Regions from separate parts of the Mus musculus genome. Here regions 2, 3 and 4 are each reported to be linked to region 1. The links are microRNA targets in miRTarBase. Many come from high-throughput screens and were not tested one by one. Region 1 holds a microRNA gene; each other region holds the end of a gene's coding sequence.
Evidence for each region. Region 1 holds the annotated microRNA mmu-miR-324-3p (CCACUGCCCCAGGUGCUGCU, at 1,769-1,788, shown strand). A microRNA usually pairs through its seed, bases 2 to 8, with sites in the 3' UTR of a target mRNA and lowers its output. Matches are read on the target gene's strand: a 7mer-m8 pairs with bases 2 to 8, a 7mer-A1 pairs with bases 2 to 7 and ends in A, and an 8mer does both.

Region 2: miRTarBase lists Tgfbr2 as a target of mmu-miR-324-3p. The part of its 3' UTR that is shown has no 7-base or 8-base seed match.
Region 3: the mRNA of Tmem131 is a reported target of mmu-miR-324-3p. The part of its 3' UTR that is shown has no 7-base or 8-base seed match.
Region 4: the mRNA of Ablim1 is a reported target of mmu-miR-324-3p. Seed matches in the 3' UTR shown: 7mer-A1 at 749-755 and 7mer-m8 at 613-619.

The regions. Positions count from the first base shown.
Region 1 is chr11:70,010,327-70,015,740 of GRCm38, forward strand. Mir324 (microRNA 324) reads left to right here and starts at 1,717; the gene lies at 1,717-1,805. Acadvl (acyl-Coenzyme A dehydrogenase, very long chain) reads right to left here and starts at 5,102. Exons shown (of 20, transcript NM_017366.3): 1 at 4,937-5,102; 2 at 4,791-4,869; 3 at 4,467-4,532; 4 at 4,305-4,377; 5 at 4,153-4,217; 6 at 3,919-4,053; 7 at 3,108-3,252; 8 at 2,846-2,975; 9 at 2,632-2,757; 10 at 2,122-2,320; 11 at 1,860-1,964; 12 at 1,358-1,444; 13 at 1,210-1,272; 14 at 1,019-1,120; 6 more. The coding sequence starts at 4,998.
Region 2 is chr9:116,085,766-116,090,765 of GRCm38, forward strand. It overlaps Tgfbr2 (transforming growth factor, beta receptor II), which reads right to left. Exons shown (of 8, transcript NM_009371.3): 8 at 1,930-4,792. The coding sequence ends at 4,613. Among named protein-coding and RNA genes, the nearest start is that of Gm31014, 34 kb to the left of the region's middle.
Region 3 is chr1:36,788,578-36,793,577 of GRCm38, reverse strand. Tmem131 (transmembrane protein 131) reads left to right here. Exons shown (of 41, transcript NM_018872.2): 41 at 373-1,389. The coding sequence ends at 657. Among named protein-coding and RNA genes, the nearest start is that of Zap70, 29 kb to the right of the region's middle.
Region 4 is chr19:57,032,852-57,037,851 of GRCm38, forward strand. Ablim1 (actin-binding LIM protein 1) reads right to left here. Exons shown (of 26, transcript NM_178688.4): 26 at 1-4,486. The coding sequence ends at 4,373. Among named protein-coding and RNA genes, the nearest start is that of Afap1l2, 27 kb to the left of the region's middle.

The sequences.
Region 1 (5,414 bases):
CCACCATTCTCCACCATGGCCTTGGAGATGCTTCTGAAGTTCCGGAAGAGCTCCTGATGCTGAGGGCTGGACTGCAGACTGGCCATGTTTTCTCGGATCCGAGTTGCAGCCTGGGGAGAGGGAAGGGGAGGGACGGTCAGGCCGTCCTGTACTGGGGAGCTCCAAGGCCCACCTGTACTGGGGAGCTCCAAGGCTCACCTCAATGCACCAGCTATCACAGAGCATTTTCTCATGCTGTGCCGTCGGGTAGCCCTCACTCAGGGACCTTGAGGCTCTGTGAGGAAACAGAGGTTAAAATGATCCTGAGTGCTGGTGTTGGCCCAGCTCCTCTGTGGCTCTAGCCTGCCAAGCGTCCCTCGCTGCCGCCTTACCTGGACAGAACCACCACCATGGCATAGAGGTCAATGGCGCCGTCCGCCAGTCGCTGCAGCAGGAACTGCTCGTCTGTCAGGTAGATGAGGGTGGGGCTGTTAGTCGGAGGGAGGGAATCAGGGAGGGAAGGGGGTTGCAGAGCTCACTCACTGACAATCCCTTTCTTGTGTTTCACCAGCTTGGCCTCCACCACGGTGGCAAATTGATCCAGAGCCTGCACTGCCTGAAGAGACAAGAGTCACAGACAGAGCTCAGGAGAGGAAGGCAGCGCACAGCCACCGCAGGCTCTGCTTTAAGGCTCACTCACCAGTTCACCACTGCGACTTAACTCTGGGTGGACAATCCCTGACAGACTCAAACCACTGCCGATTCCTGTCCTCCTGAGAGGAGATGGAAGAGTGACTGGTCAGTTGCGGCCTCCCATCTTGTTTGACCCTGACTCTGACCCTGGCCCCGGCCCATGAGGTACCGTCTCAGCTGTTTGCCTGCTTCTCCCATCAGGAGGCCAACGTTTCCAAAAGGATTCTTCAGGGCATTGCCCAGCCCAGTGAGTTCCTTTCCTTTGTCCTGTGGAGAGAAGGGGGACGGCGACAGTGAGGACTCAGTGTCCTCCCCAGCTGCTCTCTCTCATCCTCCTTCCTCTTACCATACAGCCTTGCAGAGCCACAAACAGTCGAAGAATGTCATTTGCCCCTTCAAAGATCCGGAAGATTCGAATATCTCGGAGCACACGCTCCACCCCTGGTTCCTGGCACGCAGGAAGACACAGAAACCTCTGTTGAGATGTGCCTGTCCACTCTGAACAGATGCCCCCCCCTGCCGAGGAATACTCTGTACCTTCATGAAGCCCATGCCCCCCATTATTTGGATGCACTCATCTGCCACTTTCCAGGCCGCCTCCTGAGGACAGAGAACCAGATGAGTTGGATTTTTGAGCTGAGGTCCTAATCTGGACTCCGCCCTCCCATCACACCTGGGTCCTCACCGAGCAAAAGATTTTGCTGATGGCGGCTTCTATCTGGAAGTCTTTGAATCCCTGGTCCATGTTGGCACTCAGCATGTAAGCCATGGACTAAGGGAGCATGGTCGGGACATGGGGAAGACAACAGGGAAGGGCTGCATCAGACAGAATGGCTAATGCTCAGACCTTCAAGACCAGTGCTGATCTACTCCTCCAACCCTTGAATTCACTTTAGCCTCCTGGTCAGGTCAAATATGTCCAATATGTGACCCTCTGGTATATCAGGGGCTTCGAGGCTTCCGACTTTGTAAAGGGGTGGGTTAAAAGTCGTGTTTGGTGCATCTGGGCAGCATTTAGCAGAGCAGCACCACCCTCCAGAAGAGAACTGACTATGCCTCCTCGCATCCCCTAGGGCATTGGTGTAAAGCTGGAGACCCACTGCCCCAGGTGCTGCTGGGGGTTGTAGTCTGACCCAACTGTGAAGAAAGCCATAGGGCTCCAGGGAAGGGGCCCAGGAGGCCCTTACCTCAGTCACATACTGCAGAATAGCCATCCGAGCCAGCTTTTCCTGGATCACCCCAAAGTTGTGAATTTTGTCCCCAAACTGGGTACGATTAGTAGCATGATCAACCTGCAAGAGGGCGCATGTTACCCCACTGTGGTTCTTCAGTTTCCACCTGGACGGGCTGGAGGCCTAACTGTGCCGATGGTCGAGTGTGCATGTGTGTGTGTCGGCGCTCTGAGGCAGTCAGGGACATGTGCTAGCTAGGGACTGGGCTGGGACTCACCGCCTTGGCAATGAGGGATTTCATGGTGCCTGCGAGGGTTGCAGCCATCCCGAATCTTCCGTTGTTGAGGATGTTGACAGCAACCTTGAAGCCATCTCCCACCTCTCCTAGCACATTCTCTGATGGCACCTTCACTCCATCAAAGTACACCTCTGACGTGTTAGATGCTTTGATGCCCATCTTCTTTTCAGGGAGCCCACTGAAAAGGCAGGGCAGGAAAGTTGAGGTATGAACAGGTTGCTGTGGGGGAAAACGGCCTTTTCGGGTCTCATGATCAGGGGAGAACTCCCCAGACTATAAAAAGGATACAGGGCACTGCCTATGTGCCCCAGGGGCTACGGATATCTAGCTATGGCCTGTTAGCCTGTGTTCCCCCAGTGGAAACAAAACTGCTCACCTCCTGTGGGTGCCTCTTGTACAGAGATAGCCCCAGCGTGGCCTGTATTGACTATTTGCTCTTGAGAGCCCAGTGCTGTCCCCATCCTTGATTCTGTTTTGCCCCATACTCACTGGGTAACCCCTCCGAAGCTCCTTTCCACTACAAAAGCTGTGATCTTCTCTTTCACGGCCCCCGTGGCTGCATCTTTAATTGGCGTCTTGGCAAAGACAGTGAAAATGTCAGCCAGGCCCCCATTACTGTGGAAGAGTGAGGTGGTTAGTATAGGGTTTAGAGCAGCAGGGTCAGGCCACTGGGCTGAAGGGTAGAAGAGAAACGGAAGATTGCCTGATCCAGATCTTGCTCCCATTGAGAGTGTAATATTTTCCACAGGGGCTGGGTATGGCTGAGCTTCGGATGGAGGCTACATCGGATCCACTCGAGGGCTCTGTTAGGCAGAAAGCAGCCAAAGCCTGCCCTGTGGGGGAGAGAACGGGCTCACTGGGGATCCTGACCACCAGAGTTGCACCCCCTCATCCCCAGGCAGTTCCTTGTAACACCGTGAGCAGTGTCACACTCCTTACCCCTGGGTCTCTTAAGGTTGCCTTACCAGATGCCACTCTGGGAAGGTATTTTTCTCTCTGGGCCTTTGTGCCATAGAGCAAGATGCCTTTGAAACCGATGCTCTGATGAGCTCCCAGGGTAACGCTAACACCAAGGTCATGCATGCCCACAATCTCTGCCAAGCGAGCATACTGGAGGGAAAGGAGGCATCTGGGATTGTAGCTGGCTGCACTGAACTTGTCCTCAACAAGAATGGGCAGCAGGGCAGACCTGGCCTGGGGCTTGGAGCATCTCTACTCTGAGCATGGGGAGTGGAGTGGGTTTGGACAGGGCACAGGGAGGCTGGCCATGGGGCTCCCAGGTAGGCTGCTTCTCTAGCATGAAACCCTGGAGTCTTTCCTAAGGAGACAGGAGCAGGAACATCAAAGGGCTTAGATAATCCCCCCCCCCCCTTTTGAGGCAGTTTCATTTTGTAGCTCCAGCTAGCCTGAAACTTTGTGGGTTTCCCTGACTGTCCTGAAACTCCCTCTGTAGACCATGCTGGCCTTGAACTCGAGATCCGCCCGCCTCTGCCTCCATCCTCCATGCTGGGATTAAAGATGAGTGCCACTGTGCCCAGCTGCCCTTGGTCTTGATGGGAAGGTTGCCTGCTGTGTTGCCTCACACAGTCCCCAAAGACCTGGGAACCACAGTTAGGTCCACGGTCCTAGTGGGCTGCACACAGATCATGTTTCAGGGGAAAATGTGTGAGAAAAAGGGCAGGCAGGTAGACACTACTCTGGCTACTTGCTTGGCCCTAGTGGTGAGTCTACCAAAACTGGAGCACTGTGGAATGTTAACCAGGGGGATCCTCTCACCTGGGTATTAGAGAGGCCCAAACCACCCAGCTCGCTGGGTACTTGCAGGCCAAATGCCCCCAGTTCCTTGAGTCCCTGCAAAGTGTCGTCCTCCACCTTCTCCAAGGCGTCGTTCTTGGCAGGGTCATTCACTTCCTGAGCAAGGAATAGGAAGAATCTCATATTCAGAGGCTCCTTTAAGCTCCTTAGCATCTTACTTAGCCCAGGAGGGGCTGAGCTCTGGTCATCCCTTACCTCAAAGAACCGGGCCACTGGTCCCACCAGCTCTTTGAGAAATTGTGCCTGTTCTTCACTGAGCACTGTATAATGGGAGAGAAGAGCAGGCTAGTCAGGCAGAGAGGGCTCCCCTGCCCACACTGTCAGTGACTGACTAAGCCTTTACTTACCAGATGGGTATGGGAACACCTGATCAATGGTAAGCTGGCCTTTGAACATCCCCACAGCAAAGGACTTCGATTCCTAGGCAAGGAAGGAAAGGATCTTAGGTGGGTGCCTGGGGTGATTCTACTCCTGGTTTTTAAGTGTCAGTCCAGTTTCCAGTCACTTACTGCCCTGGCTGGTTTTTCTCTGGTGGAAGCATCAGAGGAGAGGGTTTCTGGCTTGTCCAGAACTGCCTGGAGGGAAGGGCAGAGCAGTTAGGCTGGAGATGGGTCTTAAAAGGTGTGCAGGAAGCGCTAGCTCTAGGAAGTGCGTTTGGTGCATGTTCCATTACTTTCTCACTAGGGCACCCTGGCGTGCCCTTTCCCCTACTTTCAGTGACAGAACTGCCACCAGGTGACTGGGTCGAAGAGAGAGACCCCTGTCGGTCGCAGGCTAGTGGGAACTGGCAACTCGCATTTCTACGTCCGTCTCCCTCATCCACTGTCACTTACCTGAGTGGCCTCCCTGGCATAAAGTCGCTGGGCAGAGATAGGCCGGGGTTGTCCCTGAAGCACAGTAGTAGATCGCGAGCTGTAAGGAGTCGGGGTTCAGTTCTGCCCTGGTTCCCAGACCCAGTGTCCCCTTGCTATATACGGACCTTCGGGCCCCCAGCCGCAGCAGCTGTCGCCCCACACTCGGGGTCATCCGAGCCGACTGCATCTCCAAAGCCGCCGCCGAAGTCTTGACCACTGACCTCTTCTCTTCGCGTCTCGCCTGCCCAAAGGTTGTGTGTCTGGGCCCTGACTCATGCTCCACAATGCACTGCGTGGTGGGGGCGTGGTCTTGGGCCTCGATGCATGGTGGGAGCTGAAGTTCCGACGTGTGCCCGGTCCCTGTATTCTACCTGACCTAGGGTGATCCATCTTCAAACGATCCGTTTTCTTTCCCAAACTCTATAGAGCCGCTGGTCTAAACTAAAGTCTGATCCACTAAAAAGGGAAGAGATTAGATAAGAGAAGGAAGAATTAAATGACTAGAAGGTTGGAGGTAGACTGGAGGGAGGACTTCCTAGCTAAAGTTAAAAGAGAGAAAGGAAAATATCAGATGCAGAGACCTGGATTATAAGGAAAAAAATT
Region 2 (5,000 bases), not on the chromosome of region 1:
AGTGCTGGGTAAATTAAGTGGAGAAAAAAGAACATTCTGGCTCTCCTAGAGCAAAACGGGATGGCTATGGGCACAGAGATAGAAAGACATGTACATGGACTACCGGGCATTTCCTCATGTATGTCGCCTCCCGATGTAGTCCCATCGCGCTGGCCAGTTTTCATCAGGAGACAAGAAGAAATACAGAAAAGCAGGCACTTTGGTTGCACAAAATTTTAGGTCCTGGATAACTTGGCTTTGCCCCAGACTGTATCTCAGGAGCCTGTGTTCTGACAATCCAGTCCTTCCCCCTGGGAGTGCGTGCCTTCCTGCCCTCCCTGGCCTGATGGGTGAATGCTCATCGAGTGTGTGCTCTGTTTATACTGCCAACGCTCACACAGACAGAGCCTTCCCTGGTCTATCTATATACCACTCACTCTTCCACATCCTTCTGTGTTCTTAATGCCATCTGGGATTTTCCTATAAATCCGCCTTTATGCAAAGCAGCAACTTACTACCAGCCAAGATGCAGGCTCAACACACCAATGCAAAGCTATGTATGGGGCTGTCAAAGGGTACCCAGGGCAATCACTGGCATGCTAGTCAGAGGCAAGAAAACGCACACAGATGCACATTCTCTGAGGCAGCCATCGCTGTGACAGTCCTGGAATAAATAGCCACATGGGCCAAAGCAGTTCCTGGGACAGAGAGAAGCCATGCTGGCACACCAAGAGCCACCATGCCAGGACACAGGGGCTCAGGAACAGACCACAGAGATAGGGGACAGCAGGCTGCCAAGGGCTAGCTACTGTTCCTCTTTTATTAGTGAGCTTCTGTTGAGGATTACCTTTTGGTCGTGTGTGTGTGTTCATGTGTAGGCATGCATGTGCACATGTGCACATGTGAGTGAGGAGGTCAGAGGTTAAACTCCAGTGTTACTCCTTAGGCCTGTACACTTGGATTTTCACACAGTCCCTTCACTGACCTAACTGACCTGGGGCTCAGTTAGGCTAGGCTGGTTGACCAGCAAGCTCTGAGGAGTTCCTATCTCTGCCTCTCCAGCTAGGATTATAAGCACATTATATCACCTGTGTTATAACTACATTATATCACCTGTGTTATAAGCATATTATATCACCTGTGTTATAATTACATTATATCACCTGTGTTATAAGCATATTATATCACCTGTGGCTTTTTCTGCCTCAAATCTGAAGGCCAAGCTCATTTCCTCATGCTTATACAACTGCCTTATCTCTCCTGGATTGTTTTTAAAGAGACATGAGTCTGTTGTAAAATACCCCACCCCTGACACACACACACACACACACACACACACACACACACACACACACACGCTCACACTCACACACTCCACAAGCTGTCTCCATCAGAGCACTGTGACTACCCACAAGAGACCTCCAAGACGGGGCTGTTGCCATATTCTCTCCCAGAAGCAGAGGTCATCAGACCCTTCCCTTAGATCCCACCCACACTTTTCTATACCTTCCTCCCGGATGTCTGTCTTTCTGGCCAAGCTGCAAGTGATTCTATGGTCTCAGGATGAGCTAGCGTGTGTGGGGACAGGGAGGCTAACAGAAGGGCGCTTAGTCTGTGCAGCTCTGGGGAAGTCAGCGTTCATGTGGGGGTGAAACTCTGTGGGTGATTCACACTCCTGGAACTTGCCCTGTATCAGACTCTGTTAGTAAGCATGACAACTTGTTTGCTTGACAAGTGGGACTTTGACGGGATCTTTACTTTGTTCTGTCCCTGGTGACACAATCTGAGGTGATCAGACATGGCACATCTGCTCAGGGAAATGCGCTCACAGTACTACTCATGGACAATCCATGTGGAAGAGCACAAAAGGACATTTTTGGCCATGCTGAAGAATAGTCTGGTGTGTGAAGTGGGTTTAGCTACTGGGGACAGCAACAAGAGGCAAGGTGGTCTGCGGACTTTGGATTTATTTGATCTACTAGACATTTTTATTTATATAAAAGACAAACACTGCATAGATTGAAAATAAGTGCTTTAGGTTTTGATATAAAAAGAATATTGTGCATTCATTCACATTCCTATTTGAATACATGAATATGGCCGAAGTGTTCAATAAAAGAATAAAACTTTCCCTTTATGTAGAGTAGTGAACAAGAGTCAACACTTTGAGGAATGACAGCGATGCTATTCCTTGGTCTTTTTCTTGAATAAAGAAAAGAAATGACATAAACAAAACAAGCCACAGTAACATGACACCATATTCCAGTTTCTGATGATGACCCGGAAGTGAAGTCACTTTTGAACCCTAGAAATCCCACTAGTGGACCAGCATTCTGTAAATTCCCCGCTAGAGGGCGGTGAACAACAGCTACTGGGTTAGCACTGGCAATCCAAAAGAAGCAAGTGGGCTTGGGGGTTTCCATGGTGTTCGAAGCCACAGAACACATAGATTTTTGTCCTACCCCCAATTTGACCATGTTGACCAAACAGAACAAAAGGCCCCCTTGGTGGTTCTCCAATCATGCTCCTATTTGGTTGAAAATAAGTCGCTTCAAAAACACAATTTCTTAACAAGACAGACTTTGGTTTGCAACATCCACATTTGTTGGGGGATTAACAAGTTTCCTTTTAAAGCTCATTCCCTGCTCTCATCCAAGTGGACACAGAGTCCCTGTCTCTACACAGGAGTCCTGTGTGACCCCTGTTCAAATATGCACTTGTAATTTCTGCCAAGGTTAGGACCATGCAGAGACCAGTAGCCATAAAGAAAGATTCTTAGAGCAGAGAGGTTCCCTTGCAGAGGCAGATGAAACTTATTATGCATACAAAGAGCCCTGACCTAATGAGGTCACACACAGGTGGTCTCCTGATGTCCAATTTATGTCAATTTCAAATCATAACATCAGATAAGTTTTGTGCAATCCAATCTGTTCCCAGAACAGGGTGAAATGAATGCACATTTCTAGTGTGTGCACGTGTGTGTGGGTGTTCGTGGGTGCACCTGTGATGGAGACCAGAAGTCAGTCAATGTCAGATGTTCCTCAGGGTGCTGCTCACCCTGCTTTGGAGACAATCTTCCTAGCCCTGGGCTTCCAGGGGTGTTCGTCTTCCCAGGGCTGAGATGATAAGAGTGCCCCACTGAACATGACTTTTGTCGTGGGTTCTGGAGGGGTTGAACTCAGGTCGTCTTGCTTGTGGTGCAACCATTTTTACTTGCTATCTCTCCATGCTCACGAACGCACTTTTCTTACAATGGATCCTGACTGGAAGCAGCTTTCATTTCCAGACTGGGGTGGGTGTGAGTAATGGGAAGTCTGGAGGCTTAGGAGTGAGCAGTGAGGCAGCTGCAGCCATGCCCTTCTTGCTGGAAATGATGCCCCCTGGGGGCGGAGCTAGGAACCACCTCCTCTGCTTATTGGGGAATCTAAGCTTCTCTGCAACCTCCCAAATAGTTCTAAAGAAGCTCAACTAACTTTTTCGACAGTGTGTTGATCGAGGAAAAGGAGGGTTCAAAGAGTCCCCGGACACAGCTGTACAGTATGGGCAGCGTGCGCCATTCAAATCCTGTCCGCTATTTGGGAGGCTGGGATAATGGAACCCACTGGTGTTGCCATGGCAAGCTGGAAGACCCAGCAGCAGAGCGACAAAAATTAAACACAGTGAGGCTGAGGGGCTGAGTGTAGGGTGTGCCTTGTTTTAAAAAAATCAACAAAGGATAATGGCAGGGAACAAATAACAGTTACTTATGCACAGGAAAGGATCAAAGAACTCAATCTTATTAGTAGATGGTAGGCCAATTTCATGGGTGGGGAACGGTCTTCTTTGATTTTTGGTAGCCCGTAAAAGCAGAAAAATGGGGCCAAGTTTCAAGGCTAAGTCAGAAGGTTCACAAGTCAGAGTGGGGCTTGAATGTCAAAGATAACAACCAAGAGAAGCAAAGACACATGGGAGATCCTGGGACTCAGTGCTGGACTGGAGCTCAGCTCCCTGGTCCATAAAGCACCCTACTGTAGAGGGTCATTATTGCAAAACAAAGTGTTTTGTGGCCAAAGCAGGCTGCAAGGCATGGATCCTTCTCATACAATTGTGCCCCCAACCCTGCTGTCAGGGGATCGTTGCTTGTGTGACTGATTGTCAAGTGCTAACGCTATCCCGAGTCCCTTCTGCTCCATTCTAGAGCTCTCCAATAAAAACTAATTCCCCGGGGAACACATTTGATCATTTTCTTTGTCTCCTTGCAGAGTATGGCTATATATAGAGAGATATAGACATATAGATATATAGATATATATAAAACATAGCTATTCGTATTTACACACAGGCATTAATAAAGTGCAAACGTTATTGGCTGTTGTAAAAATCAATCTCATTTCCTGAGGAGGTGCTAGCACAGCTTATGCCATGACAGTCTCCAAGGCATAGGACGCTCTCTGTCACTCATCCCCCGCCGCTGCCACCGCCGCTATGGTTGTTGCTGCTGCTGCTGCCGCTTCTAAACACGGGGCAGCTCCTGGGGAAGAAGGGAGCAAGTCCTTGGTTTTCCAGAAGCATCAGTCAGGAGAGAATCCTGCTGCCTCTGGTCTTTGGCTAGAGGACGGCTTCTGGAGGCTTGGCCCAGCCTGCCCAGAAAAAGCTATTTGGTAGTGTTCAGCGAGCCATCTTCTGGAATCTTCTCCTGGGAGCAGCTCCTCCCAGAGAGTCTCTCCGGATGCTCCAGCTCACTGAAGCGCTCTGCCACACACTGTGCTGTGAGACGGGCTTCGGGGTCATGGTCCCAGCACTCGGTCAAAGTCTCACACACGATCTGGATGCCCTGCAGAGGAAAGGAGGGGGGTCCCAAGGGCACCGTCAGTGGGTGGTCTCCATGGAGTTAGTATCAATACATCATTAACAAGGTCCACAGTTCAGAATAAGGCTCACTCTTTCTATGTGTTCATGTGTAGGTAGGTGTGGGTCAAAGGTCACTGTCAGCTGTCTTCCTCAAAGACACCTTACTCTTTGAGACAGGGTTTCTCATTGAG
Region 3 (5,000 bases), not on the chromosome of region 1:
CCTTAGTAATAGTCCTAACTCCCGTTTATAGCACGTGGCCACTCTTAAAAGCAGACCAGCAAATTCTCTATACACTCCAGGTAGTCAGTCGGACTGTGGGCTTTGCATCTTGATACAAGTTAGTGTGGCCAGGACCCACGCAGGCGCCTGCCTCAGTGAGACCCACACACAGAAAGCACAGAAAGCAGGCTGGTTGCACTGGGTCCACCAGCCAGGCTGTGTCAGCCTGCAATAAAATATCAGAGCTATGGCTAACTGTCTGGAGTATTCTTTAAAATCAATAAAAATGGGAGAAGTCTGTGGACCACTCTGTCCCCTGCCGGCCCTGCTCACCCCACACTCAATATTATGTTCCTTCTGTTTTTTTCGTAGTCCATCCTTGGCAACAGCAGCGGCTTGTGGTCCACCACTCCATTCAGCAGCTCCATCTGGTCCAGCAACATCAACAGCAACCTTCCTTTCTCCACTCCAACAAACGCGCTGTCGAGCATCAGCCTCATGGGCACGGAAAACTCTGCCGCCGCCCACACCCCTTCCGCCTCTGGCCCAGCTGACGACTTGGGACAGACCTACAACCCCTGGCGGATCTGGAGCCCCACAGTCGGAAGAAGAAGCTCTGACCCTTGGTCTAATTCGCACTTCCCTCATGAAAATTAAAATTAAGCAAAAAACGAAGTGGGGGCCCCTCATCTAGATCATGATATGCCAGTTTCCAAGACATCTTCTGAAGGCCCTCACTGCCTCAAGCCCTCTCCCCTCCTCGCAGGGCAGGCTTGGTGCACTGGCTTCTCTCACATCTTTCTTGCAATTATGATACTCTGAGATTTGCTGTTGTGCTTAAAGACAAAAGTCTGGACTCAGCCACAAACTACTACAGCCTGTCCACCTGAAATCTTGACTTACCCAGTCCCCACCTGTCTCTTCCTGCCTTCTTTATCTGTAAGAACACAAATTTGGCATTACAGTTAAGGGAGTGATTTGAATTGATTGACAAGTCCTGGCATGTGACAATTTTACTAAATTACCAAGTTTGGTTTTTAATAATTTCACAATATTATGCGCCAAGATCTAATTTTAAAAATGTACGAGGACTTTGTGCTGAAAATACAGAGTATTTTTTTAAAGTAAGGCTGTCTTGGCTTAAAAGCAGATTACAGAAATGTAAGCCAGCGTAAGAGCAGTGGCTGGATGTAAAGCGCCCAGCAGGAACCACAGGCACTCTGTGCTGTTTGTACTTGAGGTATGTACCATTTGTATACCTGAATTTATTTTAAAGATAAACTGAAATGCACATAGCCAAGTCTTGACATTACAAGATTGTGTATTTCTTAAAATACAACTTTGTGTTGTACTTTGAAATAAATGATGCTTTTTTTCAAAAGCCTTGAATTGTTTTGTTTTGCTTTTTTACACTAGCTGCATTTCCCACCACGGTTGTCCATGGTGCCACTGAGGTGATGGGTCAAGAGGTGTCTGGCCTGTCAGGACTAGAGCTAGCTGTGGGCTACTAAAATCCTCCTAGTGACCATAGAGGGTCCCTGACAGGCAGTTACCCAGAAGCCTCTTGGGATTCGTCCAGGAAGCAGCTTCCCTCACCTCTAACCGAAACACAACAGCCTCGGAGGAAAAGCTGCTAACATTTTCTGGCCATTCACCGTGTCCACGTGCACCTGAAACCTTGGGTATCAGTACTCGGCCTCTGAGGGGCTGTGGAGTTTCCAGCTGAGTGACTGTGACAGCATAGAGCCCTCAGGGAGGCCACCCACACGTCCACTCTGCTGTCATCCTTCTCAAAAATGGGCCTTGTGCTGGGCACAGGAAGGGCTTTAGACTACCTGCAGGAATGCCCAGTATTGCATTCCTGAAACCTGAGGCAGCTGACAGGAGGCTAGAGGAGGCAGTTAGAAGCAGTTTACCCACCAAGAAAGGGTCTTTTGCACTTCAGCTACACCATTTGTCTGGATGGATCTGAAACTGGGAGATGGAACCACGCAGAGGCAGAGAAGCCAGCCTCGGGTAGCAGTACGGTCTGGAAACTGAGTCCTCGGGACTGACTAAAAGACTCTAGAGTCTAGGAGGCAGAGATTTGCACACACCGAAGGCATTTCTCTTTTTTTTTTTTTTTAAAGATTTATTTATTTATTATATGTAAGTACACTGTAGCTGTCTTCAGACACTCCAGAAGAGGGCGTCAGATCTTGTTACAGATGGTTGCGAGCCACCATGTGGTTGCTGGGATTTGAACTCCTGACCTTCGGGAGAGCAGTCGGGTGCTCTTACCCACTGAGCCGCCTGGCATTTCTCTTTTTAACAAACTGTTGACCCTTTTCCAATGATAAGTCTCCTACTGCTTCTCCAGAAAGAACCCACAGTCTACACCGGAACAATAGCAGCACACTGCAATCCATCCATCTGGGTTCTAACTCCCCTGGTGGTCCTTCCTGCTCCGGCATGCTTTTCTTGTCCTTATTTCCAGGATTTTACAGACAAAGGACTGCTAGGCAACAGGGAGCTACGAACATATGTTCTGAGGCTAGTTACATGGTGAAGAACTCAAAAGTGCCCTTCCATGGGCCGTGCTGTATGTATGAACCGTCCTATGGTGTCTGAGGCGAGTTACATGTGAAGAACTCAAAGCGCCCTGCGGATGGGCTGTGCTGTGAGTATGAACCGTCCTATAGTGTGGTTTCTAATCTAGCCCTCCCTGCTTTTCATCAGAACCAGCAAGGTCACTATGGGTTTCCTCTTAGGGCTTCCTAGACAGCTAGAGTTGGCCCATAGAGCTGGTTCCTGGCCTTGTAGCCCTGTTGGTTAGCAGGCTCTCTTGTGCAGTTAGGAAATGAGAGCAAAAGTAAGTCGTACAATCTCTACACCAGGGAAAGAGCAGAGGTCTGCACGGGTAAGCTTCCCACTGACTGAGGGTTGGAGGGACGGTTCAGCAGTTAGAGCGCTTGCTGTTGTCGGAGGCCCCTTCAACCACATGTAACTCCAGCTTCAAGGATCCAGCAAACTCTTTGGCATCTGCAGCCATGCACATGCACATGATCACACACATGTACATACAACATGCGAGCACATAAATAATGAAAAGTAAATCTTGGCAATATAAAAGGACAAATGTTACTAGCAAAGCTCTACCATGTTTAGGGTACAGTGGGGGACTTACTTGCTCATAAGAATCCCTCGAGGTTGCCAGATTATTCTCTAAGTTCCCATTTTACCCATGAGACGTTCCTTGGCCAACTTGAGGAACACCATACAGCTGTTAGGAGACAAAGGGTTCTAGGGAGCCCAGGTTTCCCCAGATACTTCCAACAGTAGGTATCCAGGCAGGCAGGCAGGCAGGCAGGCATGTGTGCTCAGTGCTTACCTACAAGCTGCAAGCTGAGAGCTAGATTTTGAGGCAGGAGAACAACGAAATTCAAACAGACAGAAACCTAGGACAACAGTTTAGTAAGATACTCTGGCGTTTGCTACCCAGCTCCACATCCAGGGGAGGAGAGTGCCAACCTCTGGAGGGCGGGGGAGGGGGTGTGTGCTCCAGAGGGCTTCCTGTCATGTCACCTTTCAGTGGGCCCAAGTCTGCCACATCCCAGAACCATCTCACGAAGGGTGCTAATGCCTGGGTCTGGATGGCTCTGGGAGCCAGAAACCTACATAATCACACATCCCACCAGACCCCGAGCTGGCTGGGGAGTTGCTGCCTCTAAAGCCCAGGGTGGTTTATCCCAAGACAGTAACTGGGTGTACGCTAGTGCAGCTGTCCGCAGCAAGGGTAAATCAACCGGGTACCCAGAAGGGAGACCACGGGGCAGAAAGGCAAACTAAAGTTTCTTCTGAAATACCCTTTGCCGCCTGAAGACACAGCCCACAATTGGGGTGCACCTTCCCACGTCAATCAGAGAAGCTCTGCAGATGAGGTTCCCTATTCAGTCCAATTAGTGTCAAGTTGACATTAAAACCAATCAGCGTCATTTAAGGAAGTTGGGCAAGGGATGGACACAGAGCACAAAGGAGCACTGTTTGCTGGGCTTGCTCTGTGGGCACCTCTGCCTGCTTTCTTATACAATCCCCTGGGCAGCAGTGGTGCCACCCATAGCAGGCTGGATCCCCGACATCCATCATCAATCAAAAGAATGCCCCCACAGACGTGCCTTCAATGAAGGCTTCTTCTTGCCAGCTGGCCCTAGTGTGCATCAACTTGACAAAAATTTACCATCACAGAGGTTAACTGACCTCTGGTCAGGATGTGTTCCAACAGTCAGCTGGCTTACAGGTTTCATCTGCACCTCCATGGTTCCCGGCAGACAGGAAGCAGCATGACCATACTAAAATAACCATTTGGACAGTCCTCCGAAGCTCAGCCCTTCCGGAAATGCATCCCATAGGAACCCTGCTTGGGAAGGAGGCGTTGAAACCCAGCAGCCAAATCCTGCTACGTGGAAATGTGGAAGAGTCAAACCGATGGAGACCCACAAGACAAGTGTGTGGACTGCTCAGAAAGTCAAGCTGTCGGTGACCCCCTAGATGCTGCTTCAAGGCTGACAACAGTAACCAGTGTGTATCTTTTGGCCCTGAATAAAGACAGGGTTTCATTATGTAGCCCTGGCTGTCCTAAAACTCACTCTGAAAACCAGGCTGACCTGAAACTCACAGAGATCTGCCTGCCTCTGCTGGGTTTAAAGGTGTGCGCCACCACTGCCTAGTAAGAGTGTAATTTTTTAGAAAAAATTATTTTTATTGTTTGTGTGTGTGTGTTGTGTGTGTATTGTGTGTGAGAGAGGAGGAGGGGGAGGAGAGGGAGAGAGAAGGAAGAGAGAGAGAGAGAGAGAGAGAATACATATTTGTTCATTGCCAAAACTGTTTGATCACTGGACCTGAAGTACCAGACAGTTGTGAGTCTCCCGATGTGGGCACTGGGAAGAACAATGTTATTAACCACTGGGCCACTTTGTCCAGCCCCCCAAAGCTTACATGTAATGGAAAGACAGTAGCAATAA
Region 4 (5,000 bases), not on the chromosome of region 1:
CCCTCCTCTGTACCTCAATACCAGGTGCTCAGCACTGGCACACATCAACTCATTTCCACAGGGAACACGACACAGCTTCTCAAGACTTCCGGACATTTGCTTTCGTTTAGCCACAAGGGGAGGGAACCAAGGTGAATGGGCAGTCTTTCATCAGGGACAGAAATCCCGTGAACCATTCTTCAAGGAAATTCGATGTAGGGTCTTTGGCATCTCATGGAAAGCTTTCACATTCACCACCAGACATATTTGTTAGAGGACCCCCTCTACCTCCCCCATCAATTCCATGAACAACTGTCTCCTCTTCCATAAGGTAAAATGCCTGTGTGTATGGTCATAACCGTTTTGAACCTGGTATCCTTAGGCTCATCTCTTTCCATCTTTCACCCTGGGAAGCGATTCAAAGGACTGCCACTCTCGGGAGAGACTCAGAAAAGAATTTTATTTAGTGATAACTGCCATTCAATTACATTAAGCTTCCGGGAGAACAAGTGGACTCTGCTGAAGTTTACTGTGCACACATTGTCTGCTGAGAAAGCTTCCATTCGAAACAGCCATTTGTCTCCTTCTTGGTGAGTTTGCTGCAACATTAAACACTCACGAGTGAGGGCTATCCACTGCCCATTGTCACTGTCTCCTTCTGCTTGTGGGTAGAAAATGCAAACAGTAACCCTGTAGATGCCGAAGGCTTGTTCTCCCGTTCCAGTGGACATGGGTGCTCCTTCCCTGTCCATTGCCACCGGAAGACACATCACTGCAAATCCGAAACCCTGACCATCTATTTCTGCATAGAAAGTTCTTCAAAGGGGGGCACAAAACAGTGAACTTCAAGCATACAAAGCCCTGGTTTGTCTAACAACAGAAAAAAAAAATGCAACTCAAAACCGAGGCGGGCACAGAAAGTACAGATTGAAGAGTTACTAGAAATCTCCCCAGAGCCAGAGTTCATGGAGAGCACAGCTTGGAGCCACTCCTGCTCCTGCGACATGCCCTGGACTGCCACTCCAAGTTTGCTTGAGATTTTTTTATTTTCTCTTTTAACAAAGACTCAAAGGAAGTTAATTTGAATTCTTTTAAACTTGAGAAAGCAGATATATCTGACAGCATCATTGGTGAAGCAATCTTTAAAAAAAAGACGTTTGCTTCAAAGTAAAGTAGTCTGTTTCAGAAATGTCTCCAGCTGAACCTTTCCATGCTGGAGGTGACAGACAGTGGATAGAGAATGAAATGACGGGTGAGGCTGTGTCTCGGGAGAGAAGAGGAGAGGAGGCTCGGGCTGGAGGCAACAGAATCAGGACTTGGAGATAACAGAGAACAGGACAGATAGAAAACTCCCCCCTTACCCCTTTATTTTGCACCTTATTACCCATTAACTCCAGTTTTTCTCCTTGAGGTTTAGAGAACAGGCAGTTCGTATTTAGTTGTTGAAGGAGTCATAGTAAAAATATTTCATAACAAACTCTACACTAGTATGAAAATGCAGAGCTAGCTGTTTTCAAAGGCTTTTCATCTCTCTAATAGGTCGCACAGGAAGACGATGTGAGAGCCTGGACTCTCTTGGAGAAGTTTTGAAGAAAACACTGAGACTCCCAGGTGGCCACAGAAGCCTCTTTCAGGCTATGCAATCTGTATCAAGTCGCAAGTAGGTCAAATGCTAGAAAAATATAGCCCTTAATATACGCACCAAGTCCCCCCTGCGTAGGATCCTCCCCCCAAGTGAATGAGTGCTTTGATTTTTTTTTAGCAATTGAAATTTTCCTGTGTCCAGCAGGGTGGAGTCGAGTGAAGAACACCGCTCTCCCATGCTGTGGTCAATCATGTGGAGCCTTTAATGTCACGGACATTGTGTCTGGCAGTTAGGACCAGACCATCTTCAGCACATCCTCCTGGCTGGAACCTTCTGCCAGGGAACGGAGCGATACTCCAGACTTTCCAGCTCTCCTTCCGCCTCCCCCAGAGCAGCAGGATTCTTACTGGTGTTGTCTAGCCATACATTTTTTGCTTGATACAATTTGGACTACTATGCTAATACGGAATGTTATTTTTTTTGTTTGTTTCTTTGTTTGTTTTTTTTCCCAGTTTAGATGGAGAACTGAGTTCAAATAGTCAAGGAGGCAGGGTTTCGTTATTGCAAGAATTTAAAAGTTCATTCTTCAAATATTATAATCCTAGGCAGGTCCTTTAGCTTACGGCTCTCTGTAACTTAAAGAGGAAGACTGTCTCCTCCTCCTCCCCTGCAGCTGAACTTTCCTATGTCAGGATAAAGCCACTATAAATTTATAAAGAGCAGGTACGGAACCTTAGCAACCACCCCTGTTTCCTGAATACTTCAATTTTCCTAATCTGCATCATTGTGAGAAATAGCATTAACCAGTAAGAAGCATGGAGGGTCATGCTATCACCACACTGGATAAATAAAGTCTCCCACCAGGTCACCATGTCTGCTGACTGTGAACACTGAATACACCAGACTCCCCATCCTGTATGCTGCCAGGGTAACGTGAGAACCACGTTATACAGGCCTGGTGCTGAGGGAGCCAGTGATGAGTAGGGTAGCTAGAGAAAAACAATGAGAACATGGGAAGAAGCCGGAGACATGCAGGGAACCCATTTTTGCAATCTGTCTCCCCAAGAGGCGTGAGATCCATATACCTAGGCCAGCAGTCCAGTCCTCTTGCAGAGTGTACTAACAGATACACTTGCGAGACTAGTTCTCAGACTTAACTCTCTTACAGAAATGTAGCAGAGTAACCCAAAGAAGTGTGTCACGAGCTACAGGCTCTCATCACGGGCTGGGAATCTGTTGCTCTGTGTTACTGCAGGTGTGGCAGACAGCTGGTCGCTTTAGTCCTTCAGAAGGAATTTCTGCATTTTGTGCTGAGTGGTCATTGGGGGTGAATCCAAGTGCTTTACCACTTGGTTTTAACTCATATCCACGGCAGGAGAATCAGTGTGATCTAGCTTCTTTCCTGAGACTCTGGGGACCCTACCCCAACTCACACCAGTCCTCATGATGTGGCCTTTTCCACACATTTTAGGGAAAGAATTGCATTCCAATTCACACTGAGAGTCACAGAGTATGGAAGGGCTCTGGTGAGACGCGCTGAGCCCTAAACTAGCCTGGCCTTCCTTCCAGGGTTCTCAGTTTGAATCCAGCATGAGTCTCTACAGCTCAAAGAACAGGCTGGTCTCTAAGCACCCTCCCTGAACCTCACTTCTCCATCTCTGGGTCACGTGCTCTTGTGCAAATGACCTTCAAAGCCACAGCCCAGTATGGGCAACACTCAAGCAGAGATTACAAAGCACATCGAGACTCACAGATCTGCTCTGGGTGAGTTACACACAGACGTGAACACACGCGGGCTTGTCCATCAGGCCGAGTGAAAGCAGTCTACTTCAGAAAAACAAGTCTCCCCTTAGTCTCTACCCTTAGTCAAAACCAGCACGGGCTTGACCTGACCCATCAGATGCCAGGCAGACAGACAGACAGACAGACAGACACTGAGGAGGAGATCTTGTGATGTGGTAGGGCATAGAATTTTCTTCTCTAAGAGATACATGATTCATGGGCAAAAAAAATCACCTATCAGCAGCTGGGCCAATCTGGAAACTCTTTTTGTCTTTCCTTTCTTTGGAAAGGTGGACACACAGTTCCTATCAATTTATAGGGGAAAGGGCTGAACACAGTCTCAGAAGCAGGAAAAGCTTTCAGGGAGGGAGGTTCCTTCATTCCTTTTTCCTTTTCCATTGTCTTAATTGTTTTTCCCCTCTAGCAGCTGGCCAGCCAGGTCTCAGCACACACAGGAGCTTGTCCAAATCATTTAGCCACGCACTTAGAACTACCTGTTCCCTGACGGACTTCCATCTCCCTCGGAGCCCAGGCAGAGCTGAGGGAGACGGCCAAGGACAGGCAAAGTAGCTGCTACCCGATCAGTGCAGGCCCCTGGATTCCTTCTCTGCCACAGTACTACATAATAAATAGATTCATATGTCAGGACTCCCAGCATCCCCTCCGTGTGGCTTCCTAAGGGCACTTGCTGACTCTTACCAACACAGGCAGCACTAAGTCAGACATGGGTTAAAGGGGAAAGTGAAAAGGAGAAAGAAGCCCCACAGAGTCACGTGAAAAGGTCCCATGTGGACGTTACTGCTGAATTTGGGAACATAGAAATTCTACCCCGTCGTTGCTTGGCAAGGGTTACTGTTGCTTGGCCCAGGATGTGGCTCGTGGGTGCTGAGATCAGACTTGCCCTTGGCGTTGCTGCCTGGAGACGGTGGTGAACAAATTCTCTGATCAGTTCTGGGCCTTAGCATAATGTTCTACGCACCACCGCCACTGAGAGTTCGTTTCCTGATTGTCGTTTACTCGAGGGACTTAGAAGAGTTTAGCTTTTTTCTTCATGTCGTTGCGTCTCCAAAGAGGTAACTTGTCAAATTCCTGTATGGACATCCCAAAGATCTCCCAAAATACTTCTGGGGCTAAGTGGCGCTGGGAAGAGAGAAGCAAGAGGTTGTTAGTCCTAACGGCCACGCCAATGAACATCAGATGCCTTTTCCAATTTACGAATGTAGCCAGCCTTCCATAGTCCTGGCTTCTGCATCGCCAATCCAATCCATTTAGATAAAAAGTATCCTTCCCAAACTGCCTCTGACTTACACATGTACAGACTGTTTCCCTGGTCATTTTGCCCCAAACAACACGGTTCTGCAAGTATGGACGGCTCCTTTCGGTTCCACTAGGCATCATATGTCATCTAAAGATGGTTTAAAGCATAAGGGAGGGTGTGCAGAGACAATGTATAAAGAACGTATCACTTTCTGCACCTGCAGACTTTGTCGGCTGTTGGGGGGGGCGGTGTCCTGAAATCCATTCCCTGCAGAAACTCAGAGACACTAACATCATCCTGAAGAGCCAGTCAGACTGGGGAGAGAGGCGGCTCTCTCTGGGGCTTGTTTCCTGGGCACAGCCAGGTAGTGTCCTCCACCAGAGGAAACACCTGGCA